Rattus norvegicus: one gene and its partners. The protein of the gene in region 2 interacts with the protein of the main gene of each other region in a pairwise test. Links are inferred from orthologs where the notes say so. Each region holds a gene or a part of one and is shown on either strand. Other genes may lie near its edges.

What was found.
Region 1: the proteins of Dvl3 (region 2) and Csnk1d interact in binary tests that used the Homo sapiens proteins (3 or more experiments, as listed by UniProt). The two-hybrid records come from large-scale screens. The link is inferred for Rattus norvegicus from reciprocal best matches to the Homo sapiens genes DVL3 and CSNK1D.
Region 3: the proteins of Dvl3 (region 2) and Snx22 interact in binary tests that used the Homo sapiens proteins (3 or more experiments, as listed by UniProt). The two-hybrid records come from large-scale screens. The link is inferred for Rattus norvegicus from reciprocal best matches to the Homo sapiens genes DVL3 and SNX22.
Region 4: the proteins of Dvl3 (region 2) and Lnx1 interact in a two-hybrid assay, tested with the Homo sapiens proteins (2 studies listed by BioGRID and IntAct). The link is inferred for Rattus norvegicus from reciprocal best matches to the Homo sapiens genes DVL3 and LNX1.
Region 5: the proteins of Dvl3 (region 2) and Tnfaip8l1 interact in binary tests that used the Homo sapiens proteins (3 or more experiments, as listed by UniProt). The two-hybrid records come from large-scale screens. The link is inferred for Rattus norvegicus from reciprocal best matches to the Homo sapiens genes DVL3 and TNFAIP8L1.
Region 6: the proteins of Dvl3 (region 2) and Klhl12 interact in binary tests that used the Homo sapiens proteins (3 or more experiments, as listed by UniProt). The two-hybrid records come from large-scale screens. The link is inferred for Rattus norvegicus from reciprocal best matches to the Homo sapiens genes DVL3 and KLHL12.
Region 7: the proteins of Dvl3 (region 2) and Bahd1 interact in binary tests that used the Homo sapiens proteins (3 or more experiments, as listed by UniProt). The two-hybrid records come from large-scale screens. The link is inferred for Rattus norvegicus from reciprocal best matches to the Homo sapiens genes DVL3 and BAHD1.

The regions. Positions count from the first base shown.
Region 1 is NC_086028.1:106,734,121-106,737,799, forward strand, and holds part of Csnk1d (casein kinase I isoform delta), read right to left. Parts: exon of another isoform or gene 2,467-3,679; coding exon 2,318-2,466; exon of another isoform or gene 1,472-2,317; coding exon 1,243-1,471; exon of another isoform or gene 834-1,242; coding exon 663-833; exon of another isoform or gene 1-662. UniProt on the Homo sapiens protein: Essential serine/threonine-protein kinase that regulates diverse cellular growth and survival processes including Wnt signaling, DNA repair and circadian rhythms. It can phosphorylate a large number of proteins.
Region 2 is NC_086029.1:93,876,873-93,880,551, forward strand, and holds part of Dvl3 (segment polarity protein dishevelled homolog DVL-3), read right to left. Parts: intron 3,504-3,679; coding exon 3,382-3,503; intron 3,262-3,381; coding exon 3,152-3,261; intron 2,958-3,151; coding exon 2,822-2,957; intron 2,551-2,821; coding exon 2,457-2,550; intron 2,247-2,456; coding exon 2,177-2,246; intron 1,399-2,176; coding exon 1,259-1,398; intron 1,164-1,258; coding exon 1,087-1,163; intron 982-1,086; coding exon 914-981; intron 786-913; coding exon 636-785; intron 135-635; coding exon 3-134; intron 1-2. UniProt on the Homo sapiens protein: Involved in the signal transduction pathway mediated by multiple Wnt genes.
Region 3 is NC_086026.1:75,505,020-75,509,463, forward strand, and holds Snx22 (sorting nexin-22), read right to left. Parts: upstream 2,921-4,444; 5' UTR 2,863-2,920; coding exon 2,788-2,862; coding exon of another isoform or gene 2,688-2,787; intron 2,441-2,687; coding exon 2,357-2,440; intron 1,985-2,356; coding exon 1,880-1,984; intron 1,304-1,879; coding exon 1,209-1,303; intron 898-1,208; coding exon 865-897; intron 707-864; coding exon 639-706; intron 358-638; coding exon 233-357; 3' UTR 40-232; downstream 1-39. UniProt on the Homo sapiens protein: May be involved in several stages of intracellular trafficking. Interacts with membranes containing phosphatidylinositol 3-phosphate (PtdIns(3P)).
Region 4 is NC_086032.1:33,867,210-33,871,386, reverse strand, and holds the start of Lnx1 (E3 ubiquitin-protein ligase LNX), read right to left. Parts: upstream 2,817-4,177; 5' UTR 2,712-2,816; intron 1-2,711.
Region 5 is NC_086027.1:1,082,280-1,085,958, reverse strand, and holds part of Tnfaip8l1 (tumor necrosis factor alpha-induced protein 8-like protein 1), read right to left. Parts: intron 3,061-3,679; exon of another isoform or gene 3,059-3,060; 5' UTR 2,959-3,058; intron 1,748-2,958; 5' UTR 1,743-1,747; coding exon 1,182-1,742; 3' UTR 1-1,181. UniProt on the Homo sapiens protein: Acts as a negative regulator of mTOR activity.
Region 6 is NC_086031.1:48,453,837-48,458,174, forward strand, and holds the start of Klhl12 (kelch-like protein 12), read left to right. Parts: upstream 1-1,428; 5' UTR 1,429-1,429; coding exon of another isoform or gene 1,430-1,435; coding exon 1,436-1,630; coding exon of another isoform or gene 1,631-1,651; intron 1,652-3,680; exon of another isoform or gene 3,681-3,738; intron 3,739-4,338. UniProt on the Homo sapiens protein: Substrate-specific adapter of a BCR (BTB-CUL3-RBX1) E3 ubiquitin ligase complex that acts as a negative regulator of Wnt signaling pathway and ER-Golgi transport.
Region 7 is NC_086021.1:126,345,109-126,349,261, forward strand, and holds the start of Bahd1 (bromo adjacent homology domain-containing 1 protein), read left to right. Parts: upstream 1-1,295; 5' UTR 1,296-1,612; exon of another isoform or gene 1,613-1,694; intron 1,695-1,700; exon of another isoform or gene 1,701-1,809; intron 1,810-1,856; exon of another isoform or gene 1,857-1,899; intron 1,900-4,153.

The DNA of each region.
Region 1 (3,679 bases), on a different chromosome or scaffold from region 2:
AGTTCACCTCCCACAGTGCCATACACTAAAGACATTAAAGGTGAGATATGAAGACTAGTCATATTTAGGAACTCAGGCCTTAGGGAGACTGCTTGGAAAATAAATTCAGCATGTAAGCAAAGGTACAGTTCAATGGTAGAATGTGTCAAGGCTTGCACAGCACGTGTGAGGCCCTGGATTCCATATCCTGCACCCTCCACATCCTCCAAAGGGTCAGACACCAGAGCAAAATTTAGACATTGAGGGCATTCTTATCCCAGGAGCAATTTCCCTCAACAGGAAAACTCCCTCGGAAATGGCTCTAGGAGGTGAGGGTAAAGATGGTCAGTTTTAGATGTCCTTAGGCCTCCCACTACTGTGTTCCTTCCCCAGTCATGGGGGTCATTTCCCAAGGCTCAGTCCTGCCTCATTCCAGTCTCTTCTGGGCCCCACAGAATACCTTGACCAAAGTGCTTAGGGATTGGGAGTGGGATGACGTGGTGGTGGTGGCAGGTCCCACTGCCACCTTCATATAAGTGCCCATTTCATGTAACTCTTCTCAGAAGGTGAGCAAGTCTGACAGCACAGCCAGAGGCTCTCCATATGAGCATCTAGTCAGCACTGGGACAGGTGGCTGCTGGCATGCCCCAGCAAATTCTGCAGCAAGGATGTGAGGGACTCACAAGGATAGCCCTTGCACAGCACTTCAATTGGAGTGGACATCTTCTTCTCACTGATCCTCTCATACTTCTGCCTCTTGGTGGCGGCCTTCAGCCCCTGCCAGGGGAGAGAGCCCAGGTTGAAGTACATCAGCACGTACCCCAGAGACTCCAAGTCATCCCTTCGAGATTGTTCTGGAAGAAAAAGGGAACTATGTCAAGGATGGCATGTGTGTGTGTATAAAATCAATACCTGGCAAACAAAAAATTAGAAACTTCAAAAATAACAGAAAAATATACTTGCAGAATTATGTCACCAGAAGTTGTCCCTCACATTTGTTAAAGAAACCCCCCCTTAAGACTTCAGGGGAGCAACATCAACATCTTGAAGAACTGCTGGAGAAGCCAGCTTCTGCTACCCCACTGTACTTGGCAATACAGAGATTCTGGTTGCTCAATTCTGCTTGTCTGCTACCAAGGTTGGCTAACAGCTTCCACATCTCTCATCACCTAGGCTGCTACATAAGTTGGACTTTCCCTAATCTAAGGGATGGACATGCTAAAGGTACACAACGTCAAGTGATCCATCTCTGTCAGGGCTCACCAATGCCAAGGTGTGTGTTGATGGAGGCATAGCGTGCTGTCCCTGTGAGGTTCTTGTTCTCTCGATAGGGGATATGCTGGTGGGTGCGGGCATCCCGATACTTCTTGGCCAGCCCAAAGTCAATGATGTAGACCAGGTTGCCTTTCTTTCCCAGCCCCATGAGGAAGTTATCTGGTTTCACGTCTCGGTGGATAAAATTCTTCGAATGAATGTACTCAATACGACTTATCTACAGAGAAACAAAGGTAAGACTGAATCTCATAGTGGTTCATGCTGGAAAAGGAGGCTGCCTGGCAGTGAGGCTCCCATTACACATTCTCTTCTCTACTTTCTGGAGAGCAGTGATTTCAGTTAAGGTAGTCTTCTCTCAAGGTATCCTCAACTCTCTGTCCCTCGACAGGCCCAGACATTTTTTTTCTCTTTAGTTCCCAGAGGAATAGGTAAGACAGCAAGCTGCTTGGTTATGGTTCACATCAGATGGACTTTGAATGAGTCATAAACAAGAATTTTCATGAAAACCATTCAAGTGTTGCTACCAAATGTGGACTCCCTGAGAGAACTGAAAGTCCATTCGATATGGATACAGGGAGGAGGGGGGAGAGAAGTTACTTTCTTTTTTTTTTTTTTTTCTTTTTCTTTTTCTTTTTCTTTTTTTTGAAGCTGGGGACCGAACCCAGGGCCTTGCGTTTGCTAGGCAAGCGCTCTACCACTGAGCTAAATCCCCAACCCCGTGAGAAGTTATTTTCTAATTCAATCATCTTGAGGCCAAGATTAAACAAATCCCCCTTTCTTTCTATGCACAAATGGATGTAATAATGGAGATATGGCAACCTAGTAATTTGTTTAGTTTTTTGAGATGGGGTTTCACTATGTAGCCCTTATGGGCCTAGAACTTGCTGTGTAGACTAGGCTGGCCACAAACTCATAAACATCTGTCTGCCTCTGCCTCCTGAGTGCTGGGATTGCAAGCCACCATTGCCAATGTAACCCAGTAATTTACTCTAGTAAGCCAGCAAGCACATGCCAAGTGCTTGCTACACTGCCTGAACACTTCAGGAAAAGGGGTATTGCTTACCATTTGGTCAGCAAGCAACAGAACAGTTTTGAGACTAAACTTCCTTGAACAGAAGTTGAATAGGTCTTCCAGGCTGGGTCCCAGTAGCTCCATCACCATGACATTGTAGTCCCCCTCAGCCCCACACCATCTGATGGTAGGGATGCCCACTGGAAAAGAAACCAAACACAGCACTTCAACCCATGCTACTGTATCATATCACTTCTATTCAACTCGACAGGTGTTTAGCAGATTATGTCTGTGGGTGTTCAAGGGGTTCAGACGATATTGGCAATGTCTGCCCTCGAGTGTGATGTCCACTTGTAATTAAGCTAGACACAGTTAGCACGTGACAAAGAGCAAGCTGACAGGAGTCAAACAAGCAGTGGCAGCAAGTGAGGTAGTTGATTTCATAACATCAGCATCCATGGAAAGAGAAAACATCAGGTAAGACAGGTCCAGAGAAGCCAGCCGGATGCCACAGTTGCACCAGTGAGGCTGGAATCAAATGCTGAGGAACTAAGGAGAAAGAACTGCCATGGCTTGTAGAAGAGAGAAAAAAAGCGTTTCCTTTTTCCAATATCGATGGGAGAAAAGCAAACACAATGACAACTTCTTGGAGAGTCATTCAGATTTTGAAAACACCAACTGGTAGGAGAGGGAATAAAAGAAAAAAAACAAAACAAACAAAAAACCAGGACAAATCCAACATTAAGAAACCAGTCAGGTGTGGTGATATGCTTATGAGGTAGAGCTCTAGGATCAGAATGTTCACACCTTGGGCTACATACTAAGACCCTGTCTAGAAGAAAACAGCAATCACGCCACCGAATAGCCCAGAACTCCAAATGAGGGAAGAACTGAAGGATGCCTTCAGATATTAGACCTGAAAGCAGTCAATTCTAAACACTCTCTACTTTTGAAGAATGGGACAAAGACCAAGTATTTTATCTAAGAGCATACACAACAGTCACAAAAAGATGGTCAGAAAAAAGCTGAGAGCACTTGAATACTGCTAGGAACAAGGATGCACAAAGCAGCTTTGCTCAAGTCAAAGAGCAAGCGCTACAGAGAAGCTTTATACGATGCCTTGTGCTCTCCTCTGCCTACCACCAGAGCATGAGGTCTAGGAAGCTCCACCTACTGCCACTGGCTTTTACCATACGCACTCCACTTTTGGTTCTGTCATGAGCCCAAGGCCTCTCTTTCCTTTCATGTAAAACATTGAGTGGAGCTTCAATGTGAGTTTAGATGTTTCCGGTGAGATCCTACCATTTGAATTTTTTTTCTTTTTCGTTTTCTTTCTTTTTTTTCGGAGCTGGGGACTGAACCCAGGGCCTTGAGCTTGCTAGGCAAGCGCTTTACCACTGAGCTAAATCCTCA
Region 2 (3,679 bases):
ACCGATGAAAGCATTGGGAATGGTAATCTTGAGCCACATGCGGTCTCGGACCTCCAGCCCTGACTCGGGGGAGGCCATGGCTTTTACGATGGCCGCCATGTCACTGTGGATGGAGAGGTGGAAATCATCTAGGCCTGGGGGAAGGGGCAGAGCAGTGAGACAAAGAGGCACTGTGGAGTTAGGAAAACAGGAGTGGCATCTCAGCTCTCCCACTCAACAATGACAAGCCCACCACCAACTCCTTGGACAGTCTCCCCTCCTGTAAAAATGAATGATTAGTGTCTTCACAAGGACATGTGACAGAGGAGCCTAAGCACATGCACATGGGATGACAGTAAACTGGTGCTCCCTCATGTCACGCAGTACCAAGGCTCTAGTTAGAACCTCTCATCGAACCCCACAGGAACCTGGGAAGCATATACTAGTAGCCCCATTGTATGAGAGGAAACTGAGGCTCCGTGGGTGCTCATGGTATGTTAAGAAGCAAACAGTGTTCAGTGAGGCTCTGCGTGCCCTCTGGGGAAGAGCTACGGTGTCCCCTCGAAGGCTCCCCCCGATGCACAGTGGGTCCCTCCACCAATCCTCCCACCTGGCCCGTCTGCTGGGTGGCCCAAGGGACAGACTTGAATACTCACGTTCTGTGTCGGGGATGGAGCTGGTGATGGAGGAGCTGGTGGAGGTGATGGTGCTTAAGGAGGGGCTCATGCCATAGGCAGGGAAGGTTCCTGTCATGGCTGCAGTGTGGGAGACCCAGGCTGCAGGGTCAATGGGACGGATGGGCTCACCTGCAGGGAAGATGGGTCATCACAGGCTGCCCACCCTGCCTATTACAGTGTCTAACATGTAAGGAGAAGAGAGGAGCATGGTTTATACAGCCAACACCAACTTTACGGATGATCCCTTGTCTACTTACTCCGGGGTAATGTGAAGCAGCCACGAGGACTTGGGTCCCAGCACTTGGCTACAGTCAGAGTGATGGGCCTGAAAGCAAGGTTGTCCTAATAAAGGCAGGATGCACACAGGCCAGACCAAGTCTCCTGCCAGAAGTGCCTGGCCCACCTTCCCCCAGTCCCATGCTGTTCATACCCTGGTTTGTGCACGATCTCCCGAAGCACTCTGACTGCGTCATCATTACTCATGTTCTCGAAGTTGATCTCATTTACCTGAGAAAGAGGGCTAGGAGTGAGAAAACAGGGAGTGCTCAGGAGATGGACAGGGGAGCTGGGGTTGAGGGTTTTCCCAGGGTAGTAGACGATACCTGCAACAGCATATCTCCCGGCTCAATGCGTCCATCAGCCGCCACTGCCCCACCCTTCATGATGGAGCCAATGTAGATGCCCCCATCACCTCGCTCATTGCTCTGGCCCACAATGGAGATGCCCAAGAAGTTATACTTTTCTGCAGGGAATAATTTAACACCTTGAGAAGGGCAGGGTTCCTACCCAAATTCCCAGCTCCTTGTTAGTACAGGGCAGAAAGGGGCAATAATTAACATCACAACCAGGCAAACATTACTGTACAGTATACACATAGACACACTTTCGATTTTCCTACTGGTTATGAGGCAGCGACTCTGAACACCCTCTTACAGACAGGCAAGACCTAAGTGACCTTTCTAAGACAGAAAGCATCAGGAAGTAAACTCAGATTTAAGTTCCCAAGTTACAGCTCTTTTGGTCATATTATCTGCCTTTACATTTTTTTATTTCATTTTTATCTATTTGTTTTGTGTGTGTGTGTGTGTGTGCAGGTTGGAGGGCGACTTGTAGGAGTCAGCCTCTCTTTTCACATAGATTCTAGGGTCTGAACTCTAGGCATCAGGGTGAGTGGCAGGCCCACCTGCTGAGCCTTTTAAAGAGTAAGGAAGTATGTAATGGCAAGAAATCACTCCCCCAGGAAGCCTCCCAGGTGCCGTGCTCTGCTCCCATCGTTCTCTGTTTACCTGTCACAGCTCTGACACTGAACTACTGAAATGGTTATATGATGTCTCACGCAGTATTTACAGACGCGCAACTTCAGAATAGGGAACATATCTTTTCTTCCTGTATTGGATACGGAACCCCCAGAGCCTTGTAGTATACCACTGAGACCCACCCCAAACCCCAGAAAACGTACGCTGCGTTTCCCAGAACCCCTTTTTCCACTGAGAGGCATTTGGAAGTGCCGCCAGACTCACCCATGTTGAGAGTCACTGTGATGATGTTGAGAGACATAGTGGAGTCTGTGATGCTGCTGAAGGAGGAGGACTGGAAGAGACAGTGGCTGTGAGCAGTGCTTGGAGTGGGTGGGGAGGAGGGTTCCCACCCGGTTCTTCCTCAGCACACCACCCTTACCCACTAAGCTCCCCAACACCGAACCAAACAGAAGGGCTCTGAGGAAGAAAGCTGTGGTCCTGCCTAGGAAGGACTTACAGTCTAACCTCCTGCTCATCCTCCTGAATATCCAACAGCCCATACCCGCTCAATCCGGGAGACCTTCTGCTTCCGTCGCCGCCGCTTGTGTCTTCTCATTAGGCGTGAGGCACTGCTCTGTTCTGTGGAGCTGCTGAACCTGTGGGGCCCAAAGTCGTTCCCCACCAGGCTGGCCCATCCTTGCCTCATAAGAGGCACAGGAGAGCCCTGATCCCACCACAATGGCCACATCCCTCCAGAGGTGAAGAATCAGCGGGGTTCAAACTTCCTTATGGGTCTCTCTCTCTCTCTCTCTCTCTCTCTCTCTCTCTCACACACACACACACACACACACACACACACACACACATACACACACACCCATCCATCCCCCCATTCCCATCCCTGCTCCTATGAAAGTCAAGTCCCACCTGCTGGTGGAGTCATCCTCATCTGAATCAAAGAAACTGGTAGTCTCCAGCTCGCTGCTCATGAGGGTAGATGAACTGTCATAGCCACCTGGCTCCCGTCGCCGCTCGCCCTTTGTGGTTCCATTGAGGCGGGCTGCTGCGAGGGAGATGGGCAGCTGGGTCCATACAAGGCTCAATGCAGGGAACAAGGGATATAAGGAAAGCAAGATGTGAAGGGAGCAAGCCAGGGGTTGAACAGCACCCAGGCATACCCAGAACTCGGGAAGCAGGGTAAAGAGGCAGGGAGCTGGCTAGAAGCTACCAGGAGGAGCCAGAAGTGAGAATACACACCGTGCTCAGGGCCATCCCTCCGTCTGGGCCGCTCTCGTTGGGCAGATACCAAGGAGTCGGTCTCTGTGTCATTGTCCAAGTTCTCCTGGCTGCCCCCACTAGCATGAGGGCTAAAGGGTAGAGAGGACTTGGTGGAGAAGAGAGAGGGCTAGGGGCTCCCTTTCCCAGCCCTGGTTTGCACTAAGCTGTCCCTTCCCCATGGGCCGTTCCCACCTTCGAGTCACACTTACTGGAAGGACGGGGGCCGAGAGTCACCGATGCCTCCTGTGCGTTCCATTGAAGGAGGCAGCTCTGAGGGGTTGTCAGCACAGAAAGGGGCTGGCTCTGGGTGTGAGCCCTCGGCCGATACCAGCTGCCAGAAAAAAAAAAACGAATGGTCACAGCGGTGCCAAGGAAAAGCAAGATGTTGCTTCCAGCAGGGCATGAGAGACTGGTCAGAGTAGAATAGAGAAGAAAGGGCCATCCATGCAAGGGCAGCTGAGCAGCCGTGTAAGGAGAGGGGCTGGCAGAAGTAGGGCAGAGCACAGA
Region 3 (4,444 bases), on a different chromosome or scaffold from region 2:
CTGTCAGGCTGGGCTAGAAAATACACCTGAATCTCCTCAGCCTAAAAGTCTTGAGTTCTACCAGCTACAGCTGTCAGTGCAAACCAAGTTCAGAGCTTTGAGTGGGGATGGGCACGACTGAGCCTCAGCAAGTTACACCTGAATCTAGTCCAAGGGAAGACCCAGTTTCCTATAGGAGTCCTAGGACTGAGGCACATAACTGTCCTGAAAGGTGGCCCAAAGCCTGAGCTTGTCAGGGCATTGGTGATGGAGCAGGATGACAGTTAGCCTCCGGCTGGGCTGCTGCCGGGCTGGTGCTGGTGCCGAAGCCATAGAGACCCTGGAGTACACCATCCACCACCACTTCCGGGAGAGGTGCTGTGGGAGAGAAAGTGAAGAAGGGGCTAGCCTGGCCTTGAGCCTACAGCACTGAGCTGCCCACAGGCCCAGCTGTCTACGAGAAAAGAGGCTTTCCCTCATCCACATCTGTTCATACTAGCTTTTGGAGACTCCCCGGGGGAACAGAGACCTGGTGAAGCAACTGTATTGCACTGGTTTCTATGAAGTTACAAAGCAGGCTGCCACTTACAGGAGCAGCAGGTGGTAACCCTCAGAGGACAGTAGGCACGGGTGCTGACGGGAACTTAGATCAGTCTCACCTGGGGAAGGGGTGTGAATGTAGGGATCCAGGCAGAAGCCAATGACCGGCCGGTGGTGCAGCTGTGAGCTGTGAGAAGATTGGTTAGTGAGAGTAGAGGCACGAAGACCAAAATCAGCAGGGACCCGAAAAGGAAAAGTAAGGGGCTAGAAAACAGGCTGCTGGCCTGCCTCCTAGCACGTAACCACCAGGGGTCAGCAGGCCTTTAAGGTAGGACTTTGCCTTGCCTGGTGTCACTAGGCAGGAATTCCCCCAGGGTGCTGAAAAGAAAAGAAACACTAAGTAGCTGGAGGATACCCAGGGGAGGTGAGGAGCTGGTGGAGACAGCAGCCCAGGGGACTATTCTGTAACAAGCCCAGTTCCGGAGGTGGAGGCAAGGCTGTTGGAACTAACCAAAGCTGTCCACCAAAACCCAGCCTTGCTCCAAGTCTAGAAAGGTGAGGAGGGAGGTGGTGTATCAGAACCAGGCCAGGGCCCAGTACATTTGAAAACCTTCAGGTTCTGTTTACACCTCTTTGTGGCTGAGGGTGGGCTGAGGGCCCTTGCCACCTCTCCACAGAGCTATCCTTACCTCCAGCTGCTGGCCTTGGAGTCTGTAGGGAAATGTCTAAGTCTCAAGAATTCCAGTAACTCCTTGGGCACATCTTGATTCAGGTACAGGACGCCCTAGAGAAGACGAAGTCTTCAGTCAGATCCAGTATTAATTGCACAACCCATTGCAAAAATTTTGAGGACATTGGTTTCAAAATGATTTAAGAATTTCAAGGCAGTAGGAACAAGTATTAGACCGAACTCAGAGCCATTCTAAGGAATGGCCCAGTATGGACTGCAAAGACTGGCCCCACGATGTGGGCAGCAACGGCGGTTGCCACTGTTAGAGGGATGAGTCCATACATACCTCATTAAGAAAACAGGTTCTTGGGGCTGGGGATTTAGCTCAGTGGTAGAGCGCTTACCTAGGAAGCGCGAGGCCCTGGGTTCGGTCCCCAGCTCCGAAAAAAAGAACCAAAAAAAAAAAAAAAGAAAAAGAAAACAGGTTCTTAGCCTAGGAGTGAAGAATCTACTTGGATTATTCAAAACTTTGAGTGATCCAGATAGAAAAGTTTGTACTCGTTTGGAAAAACAGAGCCCGAGATACTGAATAACAGCCCAAAGTTGTGGACCTCAACACACTCCCACATCTCTAACTGGGTCACCGATGGTCCCTCAGGCTAGGGGCAACCAAGTGTGCCCAGTGCACACCTGGATGTAGGTCTCCAAGCCCTGCCGGCGCTGTTCCAGTCCTCTGGTCCTCCAGTTGGGCAGGCGTTTTGAGGGAAAGTCAGGCACTTTGTACCGTTTCTTGATCTGTAGTACATCAGTCACTGAGGTGAGATCCCAGCATTCAAGCCCATTGCACCTAGCTGAGGACTTTCTCCCGTCCTCTATGTCTTTAAGCTTCAACTTGGGACAGCTGGCAAGAGGTGGTTGGGACAGAAGTGACAAGCCAGAGTGTGGAAAGGACGCACCCGGACAAGGTCAGTCTGAGCTGGGATCTAGCCATTGCGTCCTCCCCGCGAGGGGCCCTGCAGCCCTGGGTAGTCGCCTGTGATCTGCACCCTCCCGGGGACTTGGACAGTAATGGGGGTGGCCAACCAGAAGCTGGGATCAGAGTTCTGTCGAATGCCACCTAGGGACCTGGCCTGGACCCAGATCGGTGGGTAGTCCGCGACATCTCACCCGCTTGTGTAGAGCATGGAACTCGCTGTAGCGCCGCGGCACCGTGTGTCTGCGTCCGCTGTACAGCACCTCTACTTGGAACACCTGGCGGGCGGAGAAGTGCGGGCAGCAGGTCCAAAGGATGCAGTAGGACCCGCGCCGCGAGACGCGCCCAATTTCTGGTGTTTGAAAGGCACAAAGCCGACCTGGCGTGCCACCGCTCAGGGAAACCCCTTCCGAACCCCACTCACACCTGAAAGAAAAGGCTGACGGGCCCTCCCCTCTGCTCCACGGATCCCTCAAGAGCCCAGACCATCGTCCAAGGGACTGGCAAAGCCAAGTAACCCCGAACCTTTGCAACGAATGTCCTAGCCCTGAATTCTGGGTCCCTTTTGCGCTGGTCGCGAGGATATTCGGGAGAGCCCCGCACGTACTCTTCGTCCATTGCTCACCATGTGGCCTTTCTCTGGACTCTGCCTGGGCCCTTCGGCCTCGGGCCCCACCGAGGGGATGTGAACTTCCAGCATCCGCGCCCCAACCCGGCCGCAGCCTCTCCTGGATCGAGCGCTAGGGTACCCGAACTCCCTAGAGCAGCCAGGCAGCCCTATGAGGCCGACCGGCCCTCGGGCTCCAGGCCCTGCCCCCGGGCCGCAGGCCCCGCCCCACTCTGGATATTTCAGCTCTAGGCTCCACCCTCTGATCCGGGACCCCGCCCTCGCCACGCCCAGGGTGTTCCCTGCAGCTCTAAAGTCCTGAAGCGGGAAGATAACACCGCCCGGGTCGCCAGGCAAAGGAAGGAACCCTCAGCAGGGTCATCCATTTGTCAAATATTTCCCTAAAGTCCACTGCCTGCCAAGTAGGCAGCCGAGCTAAGTTTTTAGCTGGTCTTTGTTTGGTGCCCTGCATGCTAAGGTGCTAGATGAATAGGCACAGGTGGGTCCAGGCCTGGGCTTCCGCTAGGACCACCCTTGTTCTCTTTCATGTCGTCCGTGGTAGCACCACCTGGAGACTCCAACTGAGGCAGTGCCAGGGTGAGGCTGGGATCCGTTTTAGCTTTGCCGAGCACCTACAGACCATTTGTTTATTCCATCCATCTGTCCACCTGTCCACCTTTCCATCCTTCCCACCTTAACATCTGCTCCAAGTTAGTGTGGGGGGAAGAGGCAGTTTAAAAAACCCAGGCTTGAGGGGTTGGGGATTTAGCTCAGTGGTTAGAGTGCTTGCCTAGGAAGCGCAAGGCCCTGGGTTCGGTCCCCAGCTCCGAAAAAAAAAGAACCAAAAAAAAAAAAAAAAAAACCAGGCTTGGGACTGGAGAGATGGCTCGGTGGTTAAGAGCACTAACTGTTCTTCCAGAGGTCCTGAGTTCAATTCCCAGCAACAGATGGTGGCTCACAACCATCTGTAACAGAATCCATCAATGCCCTCTTCTGGTGTGTCTGAAGAGAGCAACAGTGTACTCACGTAAAATAAATAAATCTTTAAAAACAAACAAAGAAACAAACAAACAAAAAACCCCAGGCTCAGCTTTGAAAGTCACATGGCCTGGATGTGAAGAACAGTGTGGGCTGTGGGCTTTCTGACATCTGTAAAACAGGTAGCAGTTACGTCTAAAAACCGAGTGAAGCTGGACAGCACCGGCCTGTGGTTCCACGTAATTATGAGGCTGAGGCAAGAGAATTGTTTGAAACCAGGAGTTCAAAGTCAACTTGAGCAACTCGGCCTCAGCCTCAGGTAGTGGCTTCCTGATGGGCTTGTTCTGCCGGGATGGATGGGTGGTGACAGACAGATGATAAGAAGTCGGTAAGGAAGAGTTCGGAGAAGAGGAACTTAGGGAGTCATGGCAGTGGCATGCACGGCCGTCCTCACATATCCTGCTGGTCTTTTTAGAGTGTAGTAGGATTTTTGGTTGGGTTATTGTGGGTTTGGTTTTTCTAGATAAGTAGAAAGACTTTCTTTGTGTAGCCCTTGCTGTCCTAAAACTTCATCTCTAAAACCAGGCTGGCCTCTAACTCAGAAATCTGCCTGCCTCTGCCCCCCAAGTAGTGGGATTAAAGGTTTGTGCCTGCCCAGCTGTAATAAGATTTCAATAAAGAACTATCACTTCATGTG
Region 4 (4,177 bases), on a different chromosome or scaffold from region 2:
GGCCCACATCTGCTCTGATGCAATGATTCAAGGTCACTGACAGGTTCAACATATTCTACTTGGGGGCTGGAGAGATGGTTCAGTGGTTAAGAGCACTGACTGCTCTTCCAGAGGTCCTGAGTTCAAATCCCAGCAACCATATGGTAGCTCACAACCATCTGTAATGAGATCTGAAGCCCTTTTCTGCTGTGGGCTAATATATAATAAATAGATCAATCTTTAAAAAAATCTCTACTTAAATGTGTGGATCTTATCCAAAGGACCCACGAGCCTTCCCCCTCCACAGAATGGTACAGGTTGCAAATTATCTGTCACCTCTCACACTGGCTTGGCCAAGTGCTCATGGAGTCTGAGGTGGAAGATGTTTACCTACAAGATTAGAGGGGACCAAGTACCCAAGGCCACTCAGGGTAGTAGCATGATTAAAACAGTCTGGGCTCCCTGCCCTCCAAACAACGATGACCTCTCCTGACAGCCTTTAAGAACTCACACTTTGTGGATGTGTCAAGAGATCACAAGAAGGAAGAGAGACCACTCCAGAGTTTGCTTCACCAAGGGCCAAGGGGGCTGGCAGGCACACGCTGCCTGGCTCAGGGAATGACAGCCCGTTCATTCTCCTCCCTCTGGACTGTTGTGTTTCTCCAAACTGTTAGCAGTGGGGTTAATTACTGACAATTAATTACAGTAATAAGAGCCGGGTCCTGAACCATTGCAGCCACAGGAGAGCTACATGGGCTCACACAAGTCCTCTAAGCTCCCAGGAAATTTCTTCCAGCAGAGAGGAACTTGTCTTTTATTTGTCCCTGACTCCAAGCTCACCTATACTCAGAGAACCACATTATAGCACATGGTACTTATCTCTCGTCCTACTGAGAAAGGAATGGCGGTTCAGAGAAGTCCAGTAATTTGCTAAGGAAATACATATTGTTTCCTTTAGCACTTTGTATACACCCAAATTAGTGGAGATGTCACAGCAACTTCTCAAGGACACATGCACGTTATCCAACGAGCTGCCTCGACCCCTATGCTAGACACTGGGACTCTGGTTTCTGTCCCCTTTTTTCTCTTTCTTGAATTGGGGGGGGGATTTTATATATATACATATATAATATATATTATATATAATATTTTTCTAAGCAGTTAGAGACAATGACAAAATAGTTTGTTATTTAATCATAGGTCCATTGTTGTAAAAATGACTAATTAACCAGGTATAAAAGAGGGGTGTGTGTGAAAGTTTGCAGAGGTTTGGAACATCAAGGACAAATTTACACCTACAAAACTCCAGGCTATGAGGAATCTTTTTCTCACTTTGCTCACAAACCTCTGAATCAACCGAGAATGTTACTAAGGCATCAACAACAGTTACTCTGCAAACACAGGAGCTTAGAGGACAATATAAGGCACAAAGGTCAACTAGAGAAGAGACTATGAGCTTCCCAAGAATCAGAAAGAAACTGGCAACAAGCAGGAGGCAGATGCTTACCAGGAAGAAAGAAGCAGCCGTTCAAGGGCGATACTTTTTAGTTGTTTCCGTTCATACACTCTTGGACAGTTGGCAGGTTCTTTTAACTTCTAGAGGGCTGTATATGGGCTTAACTCCTAGTAGATGATTTCCTTACAAAGCCATCTGCTAACTTAACTAATGCAACTAACGAAGGCCTATGAAATGAAAAGACTCGTTCATTTATTTCTCTCCCCGAGTTTCCCAGATAAGTTGATAAGGAGATGGACTGGGGATTTATTCCTCTGCTCTTGTTAATCATATTAGCTGGTGGGGGTGCCTGCCCATTGAGAACAGGTTACACGATCAGGATTAGAAAAACGAATATGGGTCCTTGAGGTACAATTACTTTTATAGTCAGGTCCTGGCAGAACAGTCTCCTCCATATATTTACTATATTAAGAGCAAGGTAGAAACAACAGAAGAGTTTCAAACCCAGACCTGGGGCTACATTCTTGTGGCCTTGAAGGGTAATCTTTACTTTAACCAAAGGTCAGCAGGCAGCCTGTCGGGCCTGAAAGTAGGTAAACAGAGTTCTAATCCAGACTGCTAAATGTTTTCCACAAGTAAAGGAAACTGAAGGCTTTTGAGAGAGAGAGAGAGAGAGAGAGAGAGAGAGAGAGAGAGAGAGAGAGAACTTATAAACAGGGAGCCAGAATTTATCAGCTTTAGTACTGACTTTCTGTTGTAAACAACAACAAAACCTAGGGAAGTATTACAGCTTTTCAGATGAGATGAATGCAGAAGGCAAGAAAAAAAAAAGACAATCTGAATTTTGTGAGTGTCCCCAGCACCCCCACCCCCACCACACACACACACACACACACACAAAACAGGCTGGACTGGTCTGCACATTTGAACTAACTTTCAAAGAGCATCTCATCTCACTTTTCTCTGGGGTTTTAAAAAGAATCAAATCAACTTCACAACAAGCAGAGGCTGGATTAGTAATCAGGAAACAAAAATGATTAAATATCTGGCCGAGACAACACTGCTGGTCACAAATAAGACTGTTACAGACATCTTTACTCTCAGAGTGTTACTCTGGACTGAGCCATTCAGTGAGCTCGCTCTCTCTCTCTCTCTCTCTCTCTCTCTCTCTTTCTTTTTCTTTTTTCTTTTGTAATTTTCATTCAGATTCCTCATTTAGATCCCTTCTGGGTCAGGGGTCTAAAAACCAAGAGAGGAAAAAATAGTTCCTGCTCACCTGTTCAAAGATGTCTGGGGCTTTCAAAGCAGCAGTCACCAGCCCGCCTCCATCCCTGTGCCAGAAGCTTCTAGGGCTGCCTGAGCTGTGACTGGTCTCAACTTCGGTGTACAGGTGGCTGGAGGAAGAAGGAGGGCATTGGTTGGCTCAGAACAGGAAATCTGTGACATCACGGAAGTCTGGCTGAGACTTTAGGGACTAAAACAGCCCAGGAGGCCCCGCCCCCTGTCAATTACCTGAATACCTTGGAGCAGGTAGGTGGCGTCTCTCAGAGGACAAATGAATCAGTTAGAGCAATTTGCTGGTCGGAATTTACTTTCCTTCCTGAGCAGAGCACGTGTCTAGCCCCGTGTACAGATCTGAATGGGTATGCCTGACTGTTTCCCAGGCCCTTTTCGTCTGCCTGATATTCTTTCCGAGGGCTCTCACAGGCCCACACAGCTGCCAACACCAGAATTAAAAGGGAAGTTTAAACACAGGGATTTTTGTAGGTGCAAAAAAAGAAAAAGGTTGAGAAGACTTAGCTATATCTGGGATTTACCCCCCTAATGCCTTTCTGAATCGCATCCCTTTGAGTTCCTAGTGTTTTTTTTTTTCTGTTCCAATATTATAACAAAACTGGAGGTGACATGACAAGCCTTAAAAATCTAAGTTCGATGCCTGTCAGCATCATTTCCCAAACTCCCTCGCAGTCCCCAGTGTATTATATTAATAATAGATTTGGCCATTGGTAAAACTTCAGTCATTCCTACCTCTCGGTCTGTCTGTCACCTGGTGGTTACAGTCCACAGTAGGCCTGCAATTAGGGGTACTTTAAATGATTCAGGTTAGAATGATAGCGCCTTACTAAGGCGCTGTTGTCTGCTGTGAGAGCTAGGGAAGAGGAGTCAGAGTTATTTTGGTCCCAAGCTTGGTGTGTGACCCTGGATAAGTCACGCTTGCTTCAGCTTTTCCAGCAGGAAAGAGAGGCTAATGGCAGGACTCAGCTGGCACTTGAGTGACAGCTAAGAGGATTCCTGCCTGCTGGTTAAGGCCTATGGCATCTTGTCCCATCAGCCTGTTGAATTGCTGTGCGCCTGTGGCCCGCAGCCAGCCTCCCTCGCAGACTTATTCACTCTCCGGAATGTGCTACCTGAGGACACTGGGGAGTTCTCTCTCCTAGGTTGGTCCAGCCACACTTTTGTCCCTTAAGGAAGAAAACACCTGCTGAAAAACACCTTCCCCCTTCTGATCTCAAAACTGTAAGCTTTACCTGTTCTAATACCTTGCCACTTAGCAGTGGTTTGTGAGCTGGACCGGGGTGGGGGGTGGGGGTGGGGCAGTTGAAGAAAGAAATAGAAAAAAACACCTCATCCCTGAGTGTCCACATTGGTAGCTGGCTCCCTGTCGGTCACTCAGTACCTTGTAAAGCAAATGGGGAGGGAAGAAGAAGGAAGATGAATCTAGTGCAGGAGGCAACTTCCAAA
Region 5 (3,679 bases), on a different chromosome or scaffold from region 2:
AAGGGTAAAAGTTTTGTCTCAGTACCAATTGGGTTAACCAGTTATGGTGTCTCACATAACCACAGGCCCGCTCAGATAGTAGAGGCTGCTTCCACACACAGTCTCAGTTACAAACCCAGGCTACCATACAAAGAGGAAAGATGGATTTGTTTCCCAAATATGGAATTATAATTTAACACATACTTGTGTCTCCAGTGGCTTTACCCTGGTCTGAAGCTGGGAATGGGGTCCCCATGTTTGACAGCGAGTCCTGTCCTATCAGTGACAACTCCCAAGTGTCCACCTGGAATAGTGCCTCCTTGCTGAGTGGTTGGATCCCTCCATGTTTCCAAGTGCCAGAGCACCCGCCCCCATGTGGCTCTGTGTGGGCATGTCCACATGGAGATCAGAGGCCAACTTTCTGAAACTGGATTCTTCTCCTACTGCACAGGTTTTGGGAAAGCCAGTCAACAGGCTTGGCAGTGAGCACTCCTACAGGCTGAGCCATCTCACCAGCTCTATTTCTTTTCTTCAGTGCCAGGGTCCAGTCCCCTAACAGGATCTCAGATCCCAACACCAAAGTGTGCTTGGAGTCTCAAAACCACTGGGAAAAAGCCATGGCCCTGTCTAGCACCTGTCTGCTGGTACATTCGGTAGTAGCGTCACTCGTCAGTGCTCAGTGCCCTGCAGCATTGGCAGAGTGAACCCCCCTGGGCCAACCTATATGAAGACCTGTTGTAGCAGGCTGATACCTGTTCACTCTAGTCTGGTGCAAGAGTTTGAACTCCATTTTTTAAAGCAAGTCACCTTGGGAGGACCTGAGACTTAGGAAACAGTCATTTGGCAGTGGGAGGGATCAGAGGAGTACAATTCTTTTCTCCCAGTTCTCCACAACCTTATTTGAAAGACTGAGAATGCTCAGACAGTGGGTTGTTGGCACACACTTGTCGTCCAGCACTCTCGGAGGTGGGGGCAAGAGGCTCAGGAGGTCAAGGTCAGCCTTGGCTACATGGGGAGCTTGGTGTCAGCCTGGCTACATGAGACCTGTCTCAGAAGGAAGAGGAGGAGGAGGGGAGACGCAGGCAAAAGCAAATGGGCTACAGCAGGAGAAGCAGAGGAGACACTGCCTCGTGCACAGGCAGTTCTGTGTTCTGGGGGACCAGTCACCAGGGGAAGATAGGCTCCAGGTTGCTGACTCCAGGTCAGATGCCACCCTCATCCAACATCCTCCCAAGGCCATCACAGATGCGACACAGGTGGCTCCGGTAGGGCTCTACTGGACTGTACAGTGCGGCCAGGAAGTCGCCATTGGCAAAGTGACTGAAAATGTGATTGATGCGGCCGTGTGACTTGGCAGTGAGGTGCAGGCCAGTGGCCTGGTGCAACAGATCCCTGCATTCCAGCAGCCCGGTGGCCAGCACACACCGGTCAAAGGTGAAGTCTACCTGGTGAAAGCTGAGGACTGTCATGGCCAGGCTGTGCACCCGGCTCCGGAAACGCCGCAGCTGGGCTAGCGCGTTGCTGTCCAGCTGGTCTGCCCGAAGCAACACAGCCAGCTTCACGGCCACTTTCACCAGGTTCTTCACCACCCTCTGTGCCTCCTTCCGGCTGCGGGTAAACTCCTTAGTGGCCTGGTACAATTCATCCAAGATCTCACTGCTGGTGTCATCCACAAATACAGCCACCATGGCCTTGGAAGCCATCTTGCTGAGGACTTTCTTCTGGGCCTGCAGGACCAGGTTCTTTGTGCTGAAGGTGTCCATGGGCCCTGTCAGGATGACACAGTGCTCAGGTCAAAGGAATGAATCTGGACAGGACTTGGCACCATTCTGATTTCCCGGCAGCCAGCCCATGGTTTCCTAGCTGGGGAGTTGAGGCTTCAGATGGTTGCCATGGAGGAAGGAGCCAGGAAGTGGCCAAGAGGACAGGCAGGTCGGCTCCTGTGGAGCAGTCACCCCACTACCCAGTTCAAGCATTTTTAGAATTTTCCCAAATGACAGTACTAAAAACCACTGGCAATTCTCATGCCTCTTCCCTAATAAACTTCTGTAACCCCACAGAACTCTCTCTCCAAACCCCTGCTTCTTTCCTAGTAAACTCCTACATAACCTTCCAGTGCCCAAGGTCCCTGACTCTTCCCAGGACAGATTCATCGCTCAGCTCAGCCTGGGTATCTCCTCCTCTAGGAAACCATCTTAAGCTGACCTGCCGGGTACTTCCTCTGAGCCACACAGGGCTGCACAGCTGCAGGGTTGCAGGCCTGCAACCACCTCCCCCAGACCACAGAGGGACAGAGCAGGGCCTGGCCCCTCATCTGCTGTGTTCTTGGGGACCCAGAACCCTCTGGGAGTGAACAAACTTGGAAGAGCAGGATGGAGGGGACATGACCAGACTGGGCCCTTGGGTCTCAGTCTTGCCCCAGACGCTGGTCAGCTGTCCACTGCTCACCCTATCCTGATGGCCGGGGGCTGGGGGAGCAGCAATGCCCCCTTGCTTCAGACCACTTGCCCACTCCCAGAGTCCCCTACAATGCCTGTTTTTGTGTGAGCTCGAGCCCCGACCCCAGCCTCTCAGCCATCAGCTCCCTGACCTTAAGAGTTCAGGGCAGGCACAAGAAGGCTCTGTGTGTTTTCCTGCCCACAGCGCTCACCACCCCCACTGTCTGCCAGCCAGGGTCCACACACTACTGTTGACACAGGGCTACATGGCAGCTTGGCGCCTGCCACGTGAACTTATTTCGTTTCTTCGGCCAGTGCCATTTGCAACAAACAATGCCATCCAAGTGGCCCAGCTGGGAATGAATCCATAATGGTGGAATCTATCCCCTCAAAGTACACTGCACCACAGGGCCATACAGCAACAAAAGACAGTCTACCCCTGACCCCCAACACCACACCCCTACACTTGAGTCCTCCTCCCTCCTCCCTCCTCCCTAGTGTCTACGAATGGTGCTGAGTCTGAGGTGGGCAGAGCACTTGCCTGGTGTCGGTCCTCAGCTTTCAGAGATGACAGTAGGAGGGTCAGAAGTTCAAGGTCACAGCTGCATGGGGAGCTGGAGGTCAGCCTGAACTGCCCAACCCTCTCAAGAAAGGAAAGAGAAATAAGATGGAGCCTGAATGGGCCTCTCCAGCACCCTGGGGTTGTTTTTCAGTTGACGTTGAACACAGGGCTGCTAGCAGAGGAACAAAGTCTGATGTCCCCGTTTGACTCAGCGGCTGACTGTCTCTGGTCCTTGCTTTTCCCATAGACAAAGCTAAATCTGTTCTCTCTGGCTCAGAGGTGAAGCCGAGTGTGTGGAAGCAGGAAGAATGTCAGGGTGGCACAGCTGCAGTCCGTCATTCCCAGCTCCAAGTTGGCTGCCACCTGAGGCAGCCAGCTGCTGGCCTCTACTTCCTGTTCTGAAACCCATTGTTCTGACAAACTCCCCACTGGAGCTCTCCTTCCTGCATGACAGCCATGTGAGGCCTTCAGAACAGGGACTTTCCCAGGGAAAAAGTGCTGTGGCCTTGGTCCCTGCCAATTGAGTGTCACAGCACCCAAAGTCTGGTGCCAAAACAGTCTGCACTCCAGCTTCCAGAACTCAGCCCCAACGCTCAATTGCTCAGCTGCCCTAAGAGGCATTTATGGAGCACCAGCTGTGTACCAAACACAGAAATGACCAAAAGTGACTTTGTCTCTGACTTCCCAGGGCTCCTATTTA
Region 6 (4,338 bases), on a different chromosome or scaffold from region 2:
TATTCAGCTGAATGCACACAAGTGAACTTTGCAATTCTGGTTATTCTCTGACACCCAGAAGGAATTGGTTCCAGGAATCCATAGATACCAAAATCTGAGGGGTTGGGGATTTAGCTCAGTGGTAGAGCACTTGCCTAGCAACCACAAGGCCCTGGGTTCGGTTCCCAGCTCCGGAAAAAAAAGAAAAAAAAAAATGAAAGAGCAAAAATCTGAGTGTGGTGGTCTTCTTTGGTTTAATTCGTTGTCGTTGTTGTTGTTTGACACCAGAGTGTCTTTATGGAGCCCAGGCTGGCCTGGAACATGTTATGTAGACCAAGGTGAGCTCCAGCTTGCAGCAATCTACCTCTTTCTCCTGAGTGTTTGGATTGCAGGGAACATACCACTGCACCTGGCTCTGAACTCATGTAGTTAGGTGCATGGTGTTTGCGTATACCTCATGCACACCCCATGTACCTCAAGACAAGTTCTGGATTACTTATGCCTAAAACAGTAAACTTATTGTACTATATTTGTGCTGGCTAGTTCTATGTCAGCATGACACAAGCTGTGGTCCTCTGAGAGGAGGGAGCCTTAATTAAGATGATGCCTACAGAAGATCAGGCTGCAAGCAGTCAAGCTGGTAGGGCATTTTTTGAATCAGTGATTGGCCGGGGAGGGCTTCTTTCACTTTGCCACTCCTGGGCTAGAGGCCTCTGTAAGAAAGTAGACTGAGCTGACTGATTGGTGGTGATGCAAACTTTAATCCCCACACTTGGAAGGCAGAGGAAATCAGATCTCTGAGTTCCAGGCCAGCCTGATCTACACATTGAGTTCCAGGATAGCCAGGGCTACACAAAGAAACCCTATCTAAAAAAAAAGAAAAAAAGTCAAAAAGCAAAGCAAAGGAAGTAGAAAGAAATAAAGGAAATTGAGCAAGTCATGAGGAGCACGTCAGTAAGCTGCACTGACACTGACCCTGCATCATCTCCTACCTCCTGGATATTAGTTCCCACCTCTGCACCTCTCACTGGACTGTGACTCAGGATATGTAAGCAAATAGACCCTTTCCTCCCAAGGTGCTTTTATCACAACAGTGCTAATGCTGAGGTAGTATTCTCTAGGGAAAATTATAAACGCCTGTATACATGTTCAAAATCAGTTCTTTAGTTCTTAATATTTTGTGCTTTGCTTGGTTGAATCCAAAGATATAGAACGTGGAATTTGGAGGAAGAATGAGGTAATGTTTACTGGAGTCGTTGTTGGCCAGATTGTGGTGGTGCCAGGGTCAAAAGTGCTCTCTCTATATTTGTGGAAGTTTGCGGTTAAGGAAGCCCTTTTAGTTCCTTAATTTGTAAAGCTAATTGTGTGTTTGGTTTCCCACTTCTTCATTGTGACCTTTTTTCCCTTGTAGCTGCACTGTCCAAGGGACTTCTTTGTTCTTTCTCCTTAGCGCTTGATGGGCGGCATTATGGCCCCTAAAGACATAATGACAAATACTCACGCCAAGTCCATCCTCAACTCAATGAACTCCCTCAGGAAGAGCAATACCCTCTGTGACGTGACCTTGAGAGTGGAGCAGAAAGACTTCCCTGCCCACCGGATTGTGCTGGCTGCCTGCAGCGATTATTTCTGTGCCATGTTCACTAGTGAGGTAAATGCGAGTCTTTGCTATGTAAGTCAAACTCACATTGTAACTTTGCAGTCCTCCTCTTTCAAGGGACAAAATAGCATGCGTTGGTGATCCAGCTATGACATTGGTAGCCAAGTGGTCACCAGGGTTAATCTTGGGGTTCTGTCTGGGCAGCTCTTTCTTCACTGTCCTGTGTGTGTAAGGGGCTGCTCAATCAAAGGGGATGTTTCCAACACACCATTCTTTGGTCAAAAGTATAGGAGTGTCAGAACTTCCAGACGAGTGCTCAATAAATAAAATATAAATCTGAAACCAGATATAGTGGCTCACACTTAAGGTCCTGACAGCAGGAAGATGGCCATAAATTTGAGGCCATTCTGAGCTACAGAATAACACCCATATAAAAGCATTCAACAATGAAAAAAAATAGTCTGGTAAACCAGTGAACTTATGTAATGTGTTAGTTAATAGGTAGGTTCTGAGTAAGACATGTGTTGGCTTTCTGCTTTAAATCATCAATGATTGTAGAAAATGAGTATTTATGCTACTGGTGCAGATTTCAGGATGACTTCAGATGAGGGGAAGATGGGGTTTAATGAGTGACTGTGCAGTATTGACTTAGCTTGATGTGGTAGACATGTCTGTAATGCCAGCAATTGGGGGGCAGAAACAGGATCAGGGGTTTCTCACCATGGGGCCGGCCTTGAACTCACGGTGAGACCATGTCTCCCGAAAACAAGGGCAGAGGATGCAGCTCAGCTGGTCTAATGCTTGCCCAATATACACAAAGCCACTAGGTTAAGACCATCCTTGCCTCTGTACAGAGTTTTAGGCTATTTGGGGCTATAGGAAACATTGTATCCAAAACCAAAATTACTTTTTAAAAAAAAGGGCCAGCAAGATGGTTCAGCAAGTAAAGATGCTTTCCATCAAACCTCATGGACCAGATAGGGGGAAGGAAGGAACCAACTTGGGGTGTGTGGAACCAACTTGGGGTGTGTGTGTGTGTGTGTGTGTGTGTGTGTGTGTGTGTAGACAGCAGAGCTGTCCTGGAACTCACCCTGTAGACCAGGCCAGCTTTGAACCCACAGATCCGACTGCCTCTCCCTCCCAGGTGCTGAGATTAAAGGGCTACACCACTACCTCCTGGCTTTAAAGCTTCTAAAAAGTAAAACTATTTAAACTAGTCTTTGTAAGTATTTTAGGTTTGAGGCATATGAATAAGTATTGGGTATTTAAACTTCGACATATATCTGAATTATTTCAGCATGCTGGCTTTTTGTTTGTTTGTAAGATTTAAAAAGAGTTCCGTGTATGTGCTGCATGGATTTTATGTCCATCGTATTCAAGGAGTTGCCCGTGGAGTCCATAGGGCACCAGATGCCCCAGAGCTAGAATTCCAATGGTTGTGAGTCACCTGACGTGGGTGTTACAAATGCTTGACCAGTCTCTCCAAGCCTGTGGTTTGCGTATATGTGCATCTGTTTTTTTTTTTTTTTTTTTTTTGGAGCTGGGGACCGAACCCAGGGCCTTGCGCTTCCTAGGTAAGCGCTCTACCACTGAGCTAAATCCCCAGCCCCTGTGCATCTGTTTTTGAGAAAGAATCTTAGCCTGAAATACTTCATCTCTCCGCCTCCAGTACAGAGACTATGGGTGTGAGCCATCGTGCCTGGCTTTGATAAGACTCTTTAAAAAGTATCTCTAAGCACCAGTGTTTTCTTTAGGTAGTGCCCATCACTGTGAGGCTGCAGAGGTGGCTCAGTGGTTAAGAGCACTGGCTGTTCTTCCAGAGGATCGGGGTTCCATTCCCAGCACCCACATTATGGTTCACAACTGTCTAACTTTAGTTCCAAGAGATCTGACACCCTCACACAGAGATACATGCAGACAAAACACCATTGCACATAAGGTAAAAATTTTAAAAAAAGTCCCTGTCAATGTACTGAAGAAGTAGTTGCTGGAGCCAGATAAGAGAGGGAGTGTCGTGATAATAACAGCTATATTTATGGGCCCAGTCACATTGCCATGTTGTCATTTACCCAAGGGGTAAATATGCCATTTCATTTTACAGATGAAAGGTCTCAACAAATGCCTTGCCAAGGTCACATTGCTTAGAGCACCACAGAGAGGTAGGCTCTGCCACTATAGCATATGACTGTAAAAAATAATCCTTAACTCCCATGTTCATCCATAAGGCTGGTACCACAGATCTCTAGCTTGTACTCCCCTTTATGATGTCTGCCCCAAAAACATAGCCATTTAGCTGGGTAGGGAGTGTTGACCAGTGCTGAGCATGAAGTGGACTAAGACTGCTGCTCACACAGTCCTGCTAAAGCAGCGTGTGTCCTGTCTGCTGTCAGGCTGTCTCCTGTCTTGGAGAAAGGCTGTCTACATTGTTTTTTCAACACTGGGGAATTTCTGGAATCTTGGAGGAAAAAAACTCATTTCTTCTCATACATGACTCTTCTTTCTTTCCTTCTTTCCTTCTTTCCTTTTCTAAACAGGGCTTTTCTGCGCCTGTTGTAGACCTCCCCCTGTAGACCAGGCTAGCCTTGACCTCAGAAATCCACCTGCCTCTGCCTCCGCCTCCAGAATGCTGGAATTAAAGGTGTGTGCCACCAATGCCTGGCTAGAGTGTGATATTTTTGTTGTTATTTTTGTTTTCGGAAACAGAGTTTCTCTGTATAACAGAGCCCTGGCTGTCCTGGACTCCCTTTGTAGGCCAGGCT
Region 7 (4,153 bases), on a different chromosome or scaffold from region 2:
TCCCCCGCCTGAATTGGGAATGAGGCTTTGTTCAGGGGTGGACTCGGTATTTCTCAAGAACCTACTGTGTGCACATTACGACTCCTTGAAGTGAAGTCCTGGGCTGGCTCTGACGCTACAAGGTGTCCAGGACACGGCCCCTTCCCGCACCTCCCAGGGACTTCCCACCCCTTCGTATGACCTCAGCCTGCTTTGCCCACCCACCCAGCTGACCCCGAGAGCGTGCTCAGGCTTGGAAAAGCACGTCTGTGGGTGTGAGAGACGGAGCCACAGCATAAGGTGACTATGGGGAAGCTAGGTAAGTGTCTGCACTGGTTCTACCCAGGCTTGGGGACGCGAAGGAGTGTGTCCAGCCGCGCCTGTTGGGCTGCCCGCCCCTTTCCCTCTCCCCCGGAGAGCTCTGATGTTCCCCGCGGTGGTGGTAGAGGGTGTGTGGGTGTCAAGGACTCACAGACCAGGCTGTGCTGTCAGCTGGAAATGGATGAGGGTTCCACACTTGGCTTCTGAAAGAGGGCGAATTGGGAGCTGGGGTGGGGGGCGGTAGGTGAAGGGCAGAAAGAGGAAAAAGAGATGCGGGTGAGGGGTTACGGAGCCAGGACCGACCTTGCTAGGAAGGAAAGGAGACGTGGCAAGCAGGGAAGTCGGAAAGATGAGGCAAGGGCGGGAGGGGCTTCTTAGCAGTCGGGGCCCTTTCGCGCGAGTCTGGGGCCCTTTCAGAGGAAAGGGGGTGTTGTTCTTGCTTGAATTTTTCGGTTGGTCTTCCCGAAGCTTTGCCATGGGGGCAGCAGCCTGAGGAGGGTGGGGTGCCCCCTCGGCCCTCAGTTTACTGTAGCGGGTGCTGGAGAGGTTAGGAGGGAAGAGAGATGTAGAAGGGTAATGGTCAGGGCGGGGGCGCGCTAAGATTTTTCAGGGTGGGGGTCTGCAGTGAGGTGCTGGGGCTTCAGGGTCAGGTCACCATGGGATACTGGCTCAGGCTCCAAAGACCAGGAGAAAATACTAGAAGCCGGCAAAGAAAATCATCCCCCGCCACCACCCTTGGCACCGTACCCCTCCCCCCAGGCCCCACCACTCCCCGCACCGCCTCCCCCGGCCGCCTCGTGCTGCCCCCTGCGTCGGGACGACCGACCCACGATTCTGATTGGTTGGAGACCGGGAGGGGGAGCCGAGGGCCGGATTGGCTGGCGGGGCCAGCGCAGGGCGGGGCGGCTGATTGGCGGAGCTTGCCGAGGGGCGCGCCGCTGATTGGCTGGGGACGAGGAAGCAGGAAGGAGGGCGGCGGAGGCTCCGCTCTCGGGGAGTTTGTGGGGGAACCGCGAGCGGCGTAGCGGATCCCGGAGCCCGGCCCCCGCTGCTCGCCCGTCCGGCCGCCTGCCCCGCCCGTCCGGCCCTAGCCGTCTGCCCGCCCCGGCCAGGCGCGCCCGCCCCCCCCCGACGGCCCCGCCCGACCGCGGCCCCCGCTCCGCCCGCCCGGCCCTGGCCCCCAGGAGGAGGCGCTGACGCAGCAGCGTGGAGCCCGGGAATTGAGCGCCCCCGGGGGGTTCCAGCCGCCGGATTCCAGCCCGGTCAGGGCCTGCGGGCGCCCAAAGCCGCGCCGTCCGCGCCGCTCGTCCCGGTGAGCTAGGAGCTGGGATCCAGGAGGGGGAAGGGGAGGACGAACGAGCGAGAGCGAGCGAGCGAGCGAGCGAACGAGCTAGGTAGGCGGACTAGCAAAAGGGAGAGGACCGGCCGCCCGTCAGCGCGCCCCGCCGAGCGCGCCGCGCCGCCGCCCCCGCCAGCCCCGGGAAGGGACGGACGGACGACAAGAAGCAGGTGCGGCTGCCTGCCCGCCCGCGCGCGCCGCCTCCCTCCCCCGGGTCCGGCGCTGCGGTCCCGCCATCGGGGAGCACTGCGCGCCTCGAGGTGACAGCCCCCGGGGGGCGCCCGCCTCGCAGACCGGGGGCGGGGTGGGTGGCGGCCGCAGGGTGGCAGCTTGGCCAGGGGGCGGCGGCGCGGGCGTCCCGGGCTACGGAGGGCGGGAGGACGCGGGGTGCTTCCTCGCCGCGGCGGAGCCGGCTCGCCTCCGAGTGCGCGGGCGGCAAGGCCCCCGCCAAGCCCCCTCCCCCATCGTGGTCCCCGAGGCTAGGGGCCGCTGCTGGGGGCGTCGCCGCGGGAGCGCCCTCTCGGGGTGGGGGGCGCCCTCCAGGGTTGGGAGCTGACCGGCAATTGCCGGAGGGGGGGTGGGGATGGGGGCCGCGTCAGGGCGAGGGGTAGTGTGGACCGGATCGGGTCGGGCTGAAGGAAGGGAGGCGCCGAAGACGGAAGGGGACCGGTTCGAACAGCGAGTGTGGGCCGCGGGAGGCCCTGTGGGGACCGTGCGGGGCGGCGGCCGAGTCCGAGGTAGGGCGGGGGGAATCGAAGTTGTCAGACCGCCTCTAAGTGACAGCGGGACCCGGTGCTCCAGGCCCGGCCTGGTTGTGCCCTGCCAGCCCCGCCGCCTCTCCTCTGGGGCCGGGGGCCGGGTCAGGTCGGGCCCAAGGGGCCCGCTCGGCGGTGAAGAGCCGGACAAAGGCGGCGCCCAAGCGGGCGCAGGTAGTGGTATCAGGGAGGGGAGCGAGTCCGGGGCACCCACCCCAAGGGGCGGGCACGGGGCCGGACTCTGCCCTGGGGACTGCGGGGGCCGGGGCGTCCACCGGGAGGAGCTGCGGCACTGGCTCTGGGCTGTAGCCGCAGATATCCTCGCGGCTCCGGGAAGAGTGGGGTCGACTTAGCCAAGGCGGAGGGGCAGGGTTGGGGGGTGTGCGCACCGAGTGCCCTGGCCGGTGGCGAATGGGCTGGTGGACTCAGAGGCGAGCAGAGCCTGCTACCAGTGAGAGGCTTTCAGCAAGTCTGCCTATCGATAGAGGTTTAACTCCACCTGGGATGTCTCCTAGTGGCCCATTGTCGGCAATCTTAAGAGCACAGACGGCTACTTGGATTGGGACTAAGGGACCCCACCCCCAACACACACACCCACTGTGCTTGGCGATGCCTTCACTATTGCTGTAGCAGTTTTCCTTAGGCAAGAAGGTACCCACATAGGGACAAGATAAGCTGAGTCCATAAATTGAGGCAGAAATTTGATGATGACATAAAATAAGGTTTCCAGCTCTCTTTTGTACCACCTGACACGTTTCTCCCCAGCTTCTACACCTCCATAGTCTTCTACCAAAAAGGAAAAAGCCTCAGGGGGACCACATTTCTCGGGGACACCACTGTCCTAGGACACTTTGGAATCTCTGGCTTAAGCTGTGAGAGTACTGCTAACCCCAGCGGTGAGCAGCTCTAGGCTGTATGCTGTTTATCCGTTTGTGAGAATCCACTCAGCTCCCGTGCCCCTCCTCATGTGATTGGGTTGGGAACAGGAAGAGAGGAGACTCAGGCTGATAACAGCTGAGAACATGGCCTTTTGCTGAGAAAAATCTGGGTTGGAGTGGCACACCAGTGGGACTGGTCAAGAGCAGCACTCGGCTGTGTTTGGCTCTAAGCCCACCTTTAGGAAGCTGCTGTCTGCCAAAGGAGCAGGAACAGCAGGGGGTGGAGTTCATTCAGAGCACCCCATCTCTCCCCAGGAGAGTCTGGACCCCAGTTTGGGTGGAGTCGAGGCTTGTGAGGAAAGGGGGGTATTACTTCACACAAGAGACTGAAGTTTGTTTGAGAGAGTTTAATTGTATGTCTAAATCCAGAGAAGGCTGGAGAATCTCTTTTGCTGGGGTTGTACTGTACGAGATTTCTTTTGGTGGCAGTCAGAAGGGTGACCTGGTTTGGCTGCTGGAAGGTGGGAATTGCCAAAATAACATTTCCCTCTGTGACGGGGGCTTAACCTGGCAAGAGATACTTGTCAGTCAGATGAATGTTTAGGACTGGCTCTGGGGAGTTGAGCCATTAAAGAGATGTGTTTTCACTCTGCATTTCTTCGGTCCCTCTGCTCTTTGCTTTCTCCTATGTCTCATCACTCCAGAACTGAGGCTAGCCTGGGACTTGCAGGGAATCTCCTCTCTCTGCCTCCTGGTGTGCACTACCATTGCTGGCGTTGGTTTCTTCTTTTCAGTGTCTTTCCCTTCCTTCTGTTGCCATGTTCCCCGGGTCATTTTCCTCTTGCTTCCTCTGGCTCTTCTGATCCAGTCTGTACACAGCT